2 linked regions of the Arabidopsis thaliana genome follow. The protein of the gene in region 1 interacts with the protein of each later gene in a biochemical or structural test. Each region holds a gene or a part of one and is shown in the gene's direction. Other genes may lie near its edges.

Evidence for each region. Proteins that work in one complex are often made in the same cells at the same time.
Region 2: of the proteins of HIS1-3 (region 1) and PARP2, one has a biochemical effect on the other in vitro, tested with the Arabidopsis thaliana proteins (one study listed by BioGRID).

What each region holds. Positions count from the first base shown.
Region 1 is NC_003071.7:7,844,096-7,847,572, forward strand, and holds HIS1-3 (histone H1-3), read left to right. Parts: upstream 1-1,903; 5' UTR 1,904-1,999; coding exon 2,000-2,086; intron 2,087-2,158; coding exon 2,159-2,575; 3' UTR 2,576-2,936; downstream 2,937-3,477.
Region 2 is NC_003075.7:1,047,811-1,054,704, forward strand, and holds PARP2 (poly(ADP-ribose) polymerase), read left to right. Parts: upstream 1-1,955; 5' UTR 1,956-2,293; coding exon 2,294-2,377; exon of another isoform or gene 2,378-2,454; coding exon 2,455-2,716; intron 2,717-2,797; coding exon 2,798-2,943; intron 2,944-3,035; coding exon 3,036-3,117; intron 3,118-3,298; coding exon 3,299-3,534; intron 3,535-3,730; coding exon 3,731-3,860; intron 3,861-4,074; coding exon 4,075-4,130; intron 4,131-4,223; coding exon 4,224-4,297; intron 4,298-4,409; coding exon 4,410-4,456; intron 4,457-4,532; coding exon 4,533-4,582; intron 4,583-4,689; coding exon 4,690-4,752; intron 4,753-4,845; coding exon 4,846-4,926; intron 4,927-5,035; coding exon 5,036-5,146; intron 5,147-5,237; coding exon 5,238-5,313; intron 5,314-5,416; coding exon 5,417-5,559; intron 5,560-5,680; coding exon 5,681-5,754; intron 5,755-5,865; coding exon 5,866-5,971; intron 5,972-6,057; coding exon 6,058-6,150; 3' UTR 6,151-6,376; downstream 6,377-6,894. Other genes in the region: AT4G02400 (U3 ribonucleoprotein (Utp) family protein), read left to right, coding at 6,433-6,699. UniProt on the Arabidopsis thaliana protein: Involved in the base excision repair (BER) pathway, by catalyzing the poly(ADP-ribosyl)ation of a limited number of acceptor proteins involved in chromatin architecture and in DNA metabolism.

The sequences.
Region 1 (3,477 bases):
TCTAGAAAATTCGAATAAATCGGTTTATTGGTTTAAATTTTGAGATATATACTGGTAACTGATTAATTATGTGAAGCCGGTTACACTTTTATTGCTCTTTGTAGTCAATATTTCCAAGTTAATGTTACTTGTTTTCTTGGAGTTTCAACTCTATTTATACTTATAAAACAACTATTGAAATTTCTAATTAAAGCATCCAAAGATGTTAAAGTAAGATAATTAATGTCATAGTTTCACATTTCATTCCATATAAATAATCAAAAGTCTTATTGTTGTTCATCAATCAAAAGCAAATATAACCTTCAGCATATATTTGGCTATACTAAGGTTCTTTTTACTCAATTTCTCATTATGTCTATAAAAAATATGCTTTCACTCCTAGCGGTTCTATGCATCATCGTTTCTGTAAATGCTTAGATGCCTCAGTTTCCGGCTCCATTTCCTTTTTCATTTCTATTCGAACCGATTCCTGGTATGTCAGGATTACCTGACATAACAAAATGTTGGTCATCCGTGATGGATATTCCTGGATGCATTGTAGAGGTTTCTCAATCTATTTTCACTGGAAAATTCGGCAATTTAGGTCCATCTTGTTGTAAAGCATTGTTGGACGCTGAAGTCAATTCCATGCCGAAAATTCCATTCATTCTGTTTTTCCCTCCGATGCTAAAGGAACAATGCTCAAGAATTGTGGGTGCAACTCCTCCTATACCAAAATAGAGTTTTAGCTTAGTTTTAAAAATCTATGATTTTTTTCTTTTCAACTTATTTATTGAAATTGTAGCTTACTCTACATGTTATACTCCAAAAAGAAAAAAACGATGATACAATAATAACATAGTTGTATTTGGGTTCAATACTTACTCATTTTTCAATTATAATGAATAACACCTTGAAACATTAACTCCGTAATTAATTTAGTCTTGCAATTTTTCATAAATTGTTTATATATGTCGTAACACAAAATTTGCGAACGGTTAATAACTTTACTAGATAAAACCTCTCTAAATAGGTAGATGTGAAAAATAAATAAATTTTTGTTTTAATAAATTTTTCAAATGATAATCTATATATATTTTATTTAATATATATTTTCTAAAACCAAATTTCAATCTTACCTTTTCTAAAACCATATTGTTAAAAACTAAAGAAAAAGTTGGACCAAGCAAAGCCTCTCGGTAAATGTGGTAAATAAATAGAACGATATAACTGAGAAGAAGAAAATAAAACAAAATTAAGAAAATAAAAAGATAAACATATTTAAGTTACAATATTTAAAAATATTAAAACACTTCTTTTTAAGAACAAAATGGGGAATTTTATTTATGTTTTGAATAGATCAACAATTATTAATAGAATGAGTTTAGTTTAATATATTAAATATAAAAAATTGAATATATAAACAATTGTTTTATGTATATATTTTTTTTTTGATAGGGTTAAGGATTTTTTTCTATTTTTGTTTTTAAATGTAATAAAATTTGAAACACATGTAAATATCGTATTAGTAAATACCGACCAAAAAAAATATTGTATTAGTAAATTTGACACATATCGCAATTTTTGTGAGCTAACAATTTTAAAAATCAAATAAGATGACGAACAAAGCTCTGGTTTAAACTTTCTCCCATCAATTTTTTCATTAAACCAAATTTAACCAATTATTTGGCCTAATAACTGCGTCTACGTTATTAAGAATAAGAACTTATTTTGTGTTTCAGTAGAAAACACACTCGTTCACAAAATGCCTAGTAAGAGTAAAGGACGATCACCGCCACCAAGTGTGTTTCTCGGATAAACACATGGAATCCAGCCATTACTTAAACGACACGTGTACGCTCATGATTTATTAATGCACACGTAATCGATCCTCTGACAAAAACCATAACGAATACAGAAAACACACGAATACACTTCCCTGCGCTATAAATAAGCTAGCACGAAAAAATTTAACAGATAGAGACAAGACAAGCAAAGCAACACTTTCACTAATCCTCTAATGGCAGAAGACAAGATCTTAAAGAAGACTCCGGCGGCGAAGAAGCCGCGAAAACCGAAAACCACCACTCATCCTCCATACTTTCAGGTGAGGTTCTAACTTTTTCTTTTGAGTTCCTATCTATTAAACTTAGTTTTTTCGTTTTGGTTTTTGATGAAGATGATAAAAGAGGCTTTGATGGTCCTGAAAGAGAAGAACGGATCAAGCCCTTATGCTATAGCTAAGAAGATAGAGGAGAAACACAAGTCTTTACTTCCAGAGAGTTTCCGTAAAACACTTTCTCTACAGCTTAAAAACTCTGTTGCTAAAGGTAAGCTCGTGAAGATCAGAGCCTCTTACAAGCTCTCAGATACCACCAAGATGATAACGAGGCAGCAGGACAAGAAGAATAAGAAGAATATGAAGCAAGAAGATAAAGAGATCACAAAGAGGACTAGGTCTTCTTCGACAAGGCCTAAGAAGACTGTGTCTGTGAACAAACAAGAAAAGAAGAGGAAAGTGAAGAAGGCGAGACAGCCTAAGTCTATCAAATCTTCAGTTGGTAAGAAGAAGGCCATGAAAGCTTCCGCTGCTTGATCACTGAGGAGGAGGAGAAGAAGATGGAACTGTGTGTGAATATGAAGAATAAGGTTTTTTGTTGTCTCTGTAAATGGATGATGACTTTGTTTTGGTTTGGTGTGGTCTCTTTTGGGTGTAAGAGTAAAGAGTCTTCGGATGTATAACCAGTACTACCATGTAATATACTCTAAATAGATAGATTTTTACTTGGGTTGATATCTATTATTTGTTCAAAGAATCGAAGAAACGAAGGCGAAACAAATTCGAGTAATTATTTCTAGTTGGGGGTTGGTTAACTAAATGCTAATTATGTATTTTATCTAAGTCGTTGAATTGAAAAGAAAAAACGCCTAATACTTATGTATGACTAAGATGGGGCCTAAAGACTTTTGAAACGGCCCAAGTTAGTGATTACACGGAGCCCATACAGATGTTTTAACAAAACATATTGGTTCATATGTAATCGTTAGTACAAACACTACAACTCTTCGCGTGTAAACCAACATCTCTATATGGTTTAGTAATGAATACAAAAATAGATACTTTTCAGTTTTATTCATTTGAGCTAAGAGAGTAAAAAATTCTATGTATTTGGTTTGCTTGGAGCTATAAAGTTTATCATGATGTCTTTGAGTTCAAAATATTTGTGACATTCAACTAGATTATCAATGTTTCGTAAGCCAGTACCTAAAAGTAGCGAATACAATTAGACACAGTTGTAAACGATCCGTTACTTAGGTAGTCGAAATATGCACAGTTAGATAACGGTTTCAGTCTTTGTAACTTACCTTGAGGATCAAACAGCGCTCCTCCTTAGAGCATCATTAGCTCCTCCTTTCGGTCAATCAACATCTTCTCAAGACCAATGCCTTTGAAATATAGTGCCTACCAATGCATTGAAGACATTCTTTAAAGCGTAA
Region 2 (6,894 bases), on another chromosome or scaffold:
ATTTGTTAAAAGTTTATTGACTAACTTGCGTGTACTAGCCGTCCATCTACAATACAAAAATATGTTATAGCCTACAATAAATGATAGTATGAAAAATTAAATAGCACTATGATATTTTGAGGCGGTGGAGTTTCTATTGATTGGTTATCGATGACCACTTGCATCGTCAAATGGTTCTTTGATTCGTGGTTTCGGCCCCAGCTTCATACTATCACGAGACTCGACCATCTTGTTTTTTTCTTCTTCTTCTTGGTAAATGGTTTCACAACTTGGTTCCTCTTTCTTTCATTTTATTTTATATACTATCATAGCATTTTGGTTGGATTTCTCGAGATAGTATATTTTTTAGTTACTATCATTACATAAGTATATTTTAAAAAACTAATTATATGAATTATGTAGCTAACTAGATAGATAATCGTATAACCAATTCATGTTAGTATAGTATAGTTTAAGTATGTATTTTGGGATTACAAGTGTGGTTGGCATCAAGACAAGGATGGTGATAGCCTTTCTCTGTAATTTGGTTTAAGAAAAGTTTTTGCATTTTATGTATAAACGTGTTTTTTTTTTATAATTTAAAATTTCAACAAAAAACAATTTTTTTTAATAATGATTGACCACTATAGACAATTTAAATGATAAAAAAAACCCCCAATTTTTCACAATGTTTTGGAGATTAGTCTAGATTTTTTGTCCAAATTTTCCGATTGTAAGAATTAAGAAGCAATGAACATTTGTGTTAAGCTTAATGATTTGTACTCACAATATCTTTTAAATTTAAAATTGTTAACCAAAATATCCTATATATTGTACTTGTAATAGAAATATAAACTATTAAAAACAACACTTTATTCATATAATATAAGTTAAAACATATGTTTTTTTTAGTATGTTCTAATCACACCTATTAAAAAAAGTTGAAGCTAAATGAGCCAAAAAGAAAAATAAAGATAGGGGATGGGGACAGGCTGTAATGTTAGGCGGTTGGTATATGAACTGAGAACATGTCTGTTGGTTCGGTCCATCTACACCACTCAACCATTTGGCTATGTTTTCTTTTTGGCTTTTGCATGTTCTCTCTACTTTTCTTCTTTGGTCAAAATCTCTATCTCGTCTTTTACATGGCTTACCCGAATGTTAGTTGTCATGTAAATTTGGTTATGAAAAGATATTTTATATAAACTTTATCGTATATTAATATCGTTATCATCTAACCATTTTTTAAAACTAAACTAGAACCATCCAGTTTTACAAGAGTTTTTTTTTTTTTTTTTCTAACTAAATAATATTTGAAGTGTACAATATTAACAATATATGGGCCAAATAATAGTGGAAACCAAATCGTTAGTCCCACTTTATGATGGGCCTGTTGATTCTTATGTCTTCTTCGTAAGTTGTGATTATGCAGATTACGGGCTAATAAACATGCATGTTTAGTTTTTACTGTCCAAGTAACGAAATTTTATCTTTTGGGTTGTTGGCCCATTTCATATATTCCAAATGCCAAATCCAGCCCGGCTCGACACAGCACTGCTCGGCTCAACACTCGTATGCGGTTGGTAGCCACTTAAGACCTTGGTTTGATTAACATGTTACGAATAATTTGTGTCCCTTTTTCTTCAAGGAGACTAATCTCTTTTAATAAAAAAGAATTGTGTCATTAGTCAACACAAGTCCTATAATCCGTTTACGGTAATTTGTATGCACGTCCTTGGAAAAGTGAGTAGTGGCGTAGCATTACAGCCAAAAACTATTTGTATATTTTTCTTTTCGTTAAACAACCAGCAAAATTTTCAGAAAAATGTTCTTAAATTATAAATTAGTAGTACATTTTAAAACATAGAGATTTTTTGTTTCTTTTAATAGAAGAGTTAAACCTATGTACAAAATTTCAACTCCTTTTCAAAGTATTTGCCTGTTACTAGATTTTTAACCTTTTTTTTTTTATCTTTCATGATTTTCTATTGCTTGCCATCATCAATGGTAGGAAATAAATACTATTTTAAAAAGGTCAGGGGTGGATTTAAGAATCAATCCAAAAGTTTGGGGTCTTTTGGAGATTAAAAAGTTATATGGGAAATATCCACAAATATGAACGAGAACTTTTGTCAAAAAAATTTAAAATAATTTTTCAAAAAGCCCTAAAGCTTTCAAGGGAAGCCATCGATGAAGAAGAAAACGAAGAAGAAGACTCTTCAAATGCTCGCGCGAACTCACTTCTGACGAAAACCATACTTCCTCAGTCTCATTCCCTTTCCGACGAACTATTCTCCTGAAGAAGAAGACGAAAATGGCGAACAAGCTCAAAGTCGACGAACTCCGTTTAAAACTCGCCGAGCGTGGACTCAGTACTACTGGAGTCAAAGCCGTTCTGGTATTTCTCTGAATTGCATTGAAATACTCTTTCTATTTTGTTGATATTCGAATTTGTTTATTGGGTGTTTCGTGTAGGTGGAGAGGCTTGAAGAGGCTATCGCAGAAGACACTAAGAAGGAAGAATCAAAGAGCAAGAGGAAAAGAAATTCTTCTAATGATACTTATGAATCGAACAAATTGATTGCAATTGGCGAATTTCGTGGGATGATTGTGAAGGAATTGCGTGAGGAAGCTATTAAGAGAGGCTTAGATACAACAGGAACCAAAAAGGATCTTCTTGAGAGGCTTTGCAATGATGCTAATAACGTTTCCAATGCACCAGTCAAATCCAGTAATGGTTTGTTCAATTCTCTGGACTATTGAGAAATTTGGTAAAAATTGAGTCTTTTTAATGTTGTTATTGTCATTGTGTATTAAGGGACAGATGAAGCTGAAGATGACAACAATGGCTTTGAAGAAGAAAAGAAAGAAGAGAAAATCGTAACCGCGACAAAGAAGGGTGCAGCGGTGTTAGATCAGTGGATTCCTGATGAGATAAAGAGTCAGTACCATGTTCTACAAAGGGTGAGGATTTGGAACCTAATCTTGAGTTTTTGCATCTTATCGTGTTCATGAATGTTGTTAGAAACTGTTTCTTTTTTTGTTGAATGTTGTAGGGTGATGATGTTTATGATGCTATCTTAAATCAGACAAATGTCAGGGATAATAATAACAAGTTCTTTGTCCTACAAGTCCTAGGTCAGTCTTCCAAAACCTTCAACAATAATTTCCCTGGTTACTTTCCAAGATTAATGAGACGATACTTGTCTTGTTCGAGTACTGGAAACCTCTTGAAGCAGCTTTTGATGACTCTTTGTCATTCTTCTTGGTTCCAGATACTATCATCATTGATCTATCTTATCTATTGTGCATTGTGCAGAGTCGGATAGTAAAAAGACATACATGGTTTACACCAGATGGGGAAGAGTTGGTGTGAAAGGACAAAGTAAGCTAGATGGGCCTTATGACTCATGGGATCGTGCGATAGAGATATTTACCAATAAGTTCAATGACAAGACAAAGAATTATTGGTCTGACAGAAAGGAGTTTATCCCACATCCCAAGTCCTATACATGGCTCGAAATGGATTACGGAAAAGAGGAAAATGATTCACCGGTGAGTGTTTTGGAATCCTCACTTCTCTTTCTCTTCTTACTATTTGTTGTGTGGTATGATCCAAGGGATCTGCTGGAATGAGGTTTTTGAGTGCATATCTACTTTTCTTTTTCCCGTTTAATTGCAATTATATATTTTTTTTCTCTTCGTTCAAATGTGCACTTTACTCAGAGTTCACGATTGTTTTTTTTCTCAGGTCAATAATGATATTCCGAGTTCATCTTCCGAAGTTAAACCTGAACAATCAAAACTAGATACTCGGGTTGCCAAGTTCATCTCTCTTATATGTAATGTCAGCATGATGGCACAGCATATGATGGAAATAGGTTTGAGTCTAACTTTGATCACTTCATTCAAGTGAGAGCATCCATTGGCAGATTAACAGTGATTTTTATATGTCGATACATTATCTCTTTGTTTTGGTGTCCTATTACCTGCGTTTGTACTTCCTATCTTTTGTCCTATCCATTTGTTTGCCATTTTGCTGGTTTCTTTACTTCTTGCTGATTTTTCATACATCTTCTAAATTTGGAATTGAAGGATATAACGCTAACAAATTGCCACTCGGCAAGATAAGCAAGTCCACAATTTCAAAGGTAAAGATAGTAAACAGTCTGTTTGGTCTCATTTCCGTAAATTATAGTTTGGTGTGATTTCAGATGATATAATCTCCTCTTCCACATGTCTAGGGTTATGAAGTGCTGAAGAGAATATCGGAGGTGATTGATCGGTATGATAGAACGAGGCTTGAGGAACTGAGTGGGTATGTATCTGGTTAATTGCTAGACAATTTTTCGCATTTAGTTGATTATGTAACTGTTTCCCATAAAGAAATTAGATTTGAACTAGTCTAACTTTGTTTATCATTGATGCAGAGAGTTCTACACAGTGATACCTCATGATTTTGGTTTTAAGAAAATGAGTAAGTTCATCTGTGCTAAGGTTTACGATATATATAACTAAACATTCACTAACATCTGAATTCCGAGCTGTAACAGGCCAGTTTGTTATAGACACTCCTCAAAAGTTGAAACAGAAAATTGAAATGGTAATTTTTCCTACTGTTTCCTTACTTGACTAGTTTTGGTCTTCAGAAAAGCAATGGTTTGTCGCTACATGTTTTGTGTAGTTTTTAATATATCGTTTTTTTGTAAGGTTGAAGCATTAGGTGAGATTGAACTCGCAACAAAGTTGTTGTCCGTCGACCCGGGATTGCAGGTAATTCAGTCAGTCTATGTGGTTTGAAGGCATGAAATCACTCCGTCGTATAGTTCTCTAAGAATATGACATTATTTTTTGCAATGGCTGTAGGATGATCCTTTATATTATCACTACCAGCAACTTAATTGTGGTTTGACGCCAGTAGGAAATGATTCAGAGGAGTTCTCTATGGTAAATTTTCGGTTTTGTGAACTTTGAACAAATATCTTTGATACTCGAGCATCTCAAACATGTCTGTGTTTTAAACCTTTTGGTGTTTACTCCTTAAAACCAAAATCAGGTTGCTAATTACATGGAGAACACTCATGCAAAGACGCATTCGGGATATACGGTTGAGATTGCTCAACTATTTAGAGCTTCGAGAGCTGTTGAAGCTGATCGATTCCAACAGGTATGTTATGGTATTTCGAGCTTGTCAGTACCATACACATTATTCTGATTTCTCGTTTTTGGCATTGTGAGACTTTAATTTTTCTTGGCAGTTTTCAAGTTCGAAGAACAGGATGCTACTCTGGCACGGTTCACGTCTCACTAACTGGGCTGGTATTTTATCTCAAGGTAACATGTTACTCTTTTTCCTCTTAGTAACTACTTTTTTTCTTCTCCTCTTGGGGGATTTTCAATTGCATAGTAAAATGAACAACTATGAGACACCAAGCAGGTCTGCGAATAGCTCCTCCTGAAGCGCCTGTAACTGGTTACATGTTTGGAAAAGGGGTTTACTTTGCGGATATGTTCTCCAAGAGTGCGAACTATTGCTATGCCAACACTGGCGCTAATGATGGCGTTCTGCTCCTCTGCGAGGTATACTCGCTTCTTGTCTCTATTCATATAGAAAACAACAAAACTACTGTATAACTACAGGACCTCTATAGCCATTCAACATAACTATCCTTATGTTTCCTAACGATAAAAACTTCTCTAGGTTGCTTTGGGAGACATGAATGAACTTCTGTATTCAGATTATAACGCGGATAATCTACCCCCGGGAAAGCTAAGGTATGAAGATAATCTCATTCATATTTCACACAAGTTCCTTATCTCAAACCGCAATGAATTATGATTTACTATTTTTGTACTGTACCTTGATTTGTTATTTGATGGTTGCAGCACAAAAGGTGTGGGGAAAACAGCACCAAACCCATCAGAGGCTCAAACACTAGAAGACGGTGTTGTTGTTCCACTTGGCAAACCAGTGGAACGTTCATGCTCCAAGGTTTTTGTTTTTGTCTTGCTTCAACACACATTCACAAAATCTAACTCTCTCAAATTTCATAAACTGACTTTATATAACTTTTGCAGGGGATGTTGTTGTACAACGAATATATAGTCTACAATGTGGAACAAATCAAGATGCGTTATGTGATCCAAGTCAAATTCAACTACAAGCACTAAAACTTATGTATATTAGCTTTTGAACATCAACTAATTATCCAAAAATCAGCGTTTTATTGTATTTCTTTCAAACTCCTTCATCTCTGATTTTGCACGGTTCACTCGTATATTGGTACGCTAAACCGCAAACCATACCCAATTTTATCCGGTTTAGTTGGTATGATTGAGAAATTCTTATTCTCTGAAACTCGATTTTATTAGTATTTAAGCGAAAGAGAAGAAACCCTACGAAAATCTCAATCGGAAACTAAACGGCAAAAAAAAAAAAAAGCAGAGGCAGCCATGGGAGAAAAGAGAAAATCTACTTCGAAAACCCTAGCTAAGAACAAGAAGAGGAAAGGTCCTCATTTGCCTAATTCAATCCTGAAGACTATTGCCAATGAGAAACGTCCTTTGAACTCTGACGAAGATGACGATGAGATCGATTCCGACGATGAAAACGTCGATTTGTATGAGTATGAAGAAGGTGTGCCTGAGGAAGAGTCTAAGAAAAACAATCGCTATGACCGCGTCGATAACTACGACTACGAGCTTCCCGAGGATTTCGAGGTTTTATTCTTTCTCTTCACTAATTCTCCGCCACTGTGTGAAATTGCAAGTTTTGAACTTTAGTGATAAGAAGATAATCTACAGATTTTGGTTTTAGCTCAATTAGGGTTTTTGCTATCGGGATTCTTACGCTATAACAAATTGGTGAATCCAAAATTGAGAGTTTTTAATTGATTGATTGGTAATGAGATAGTA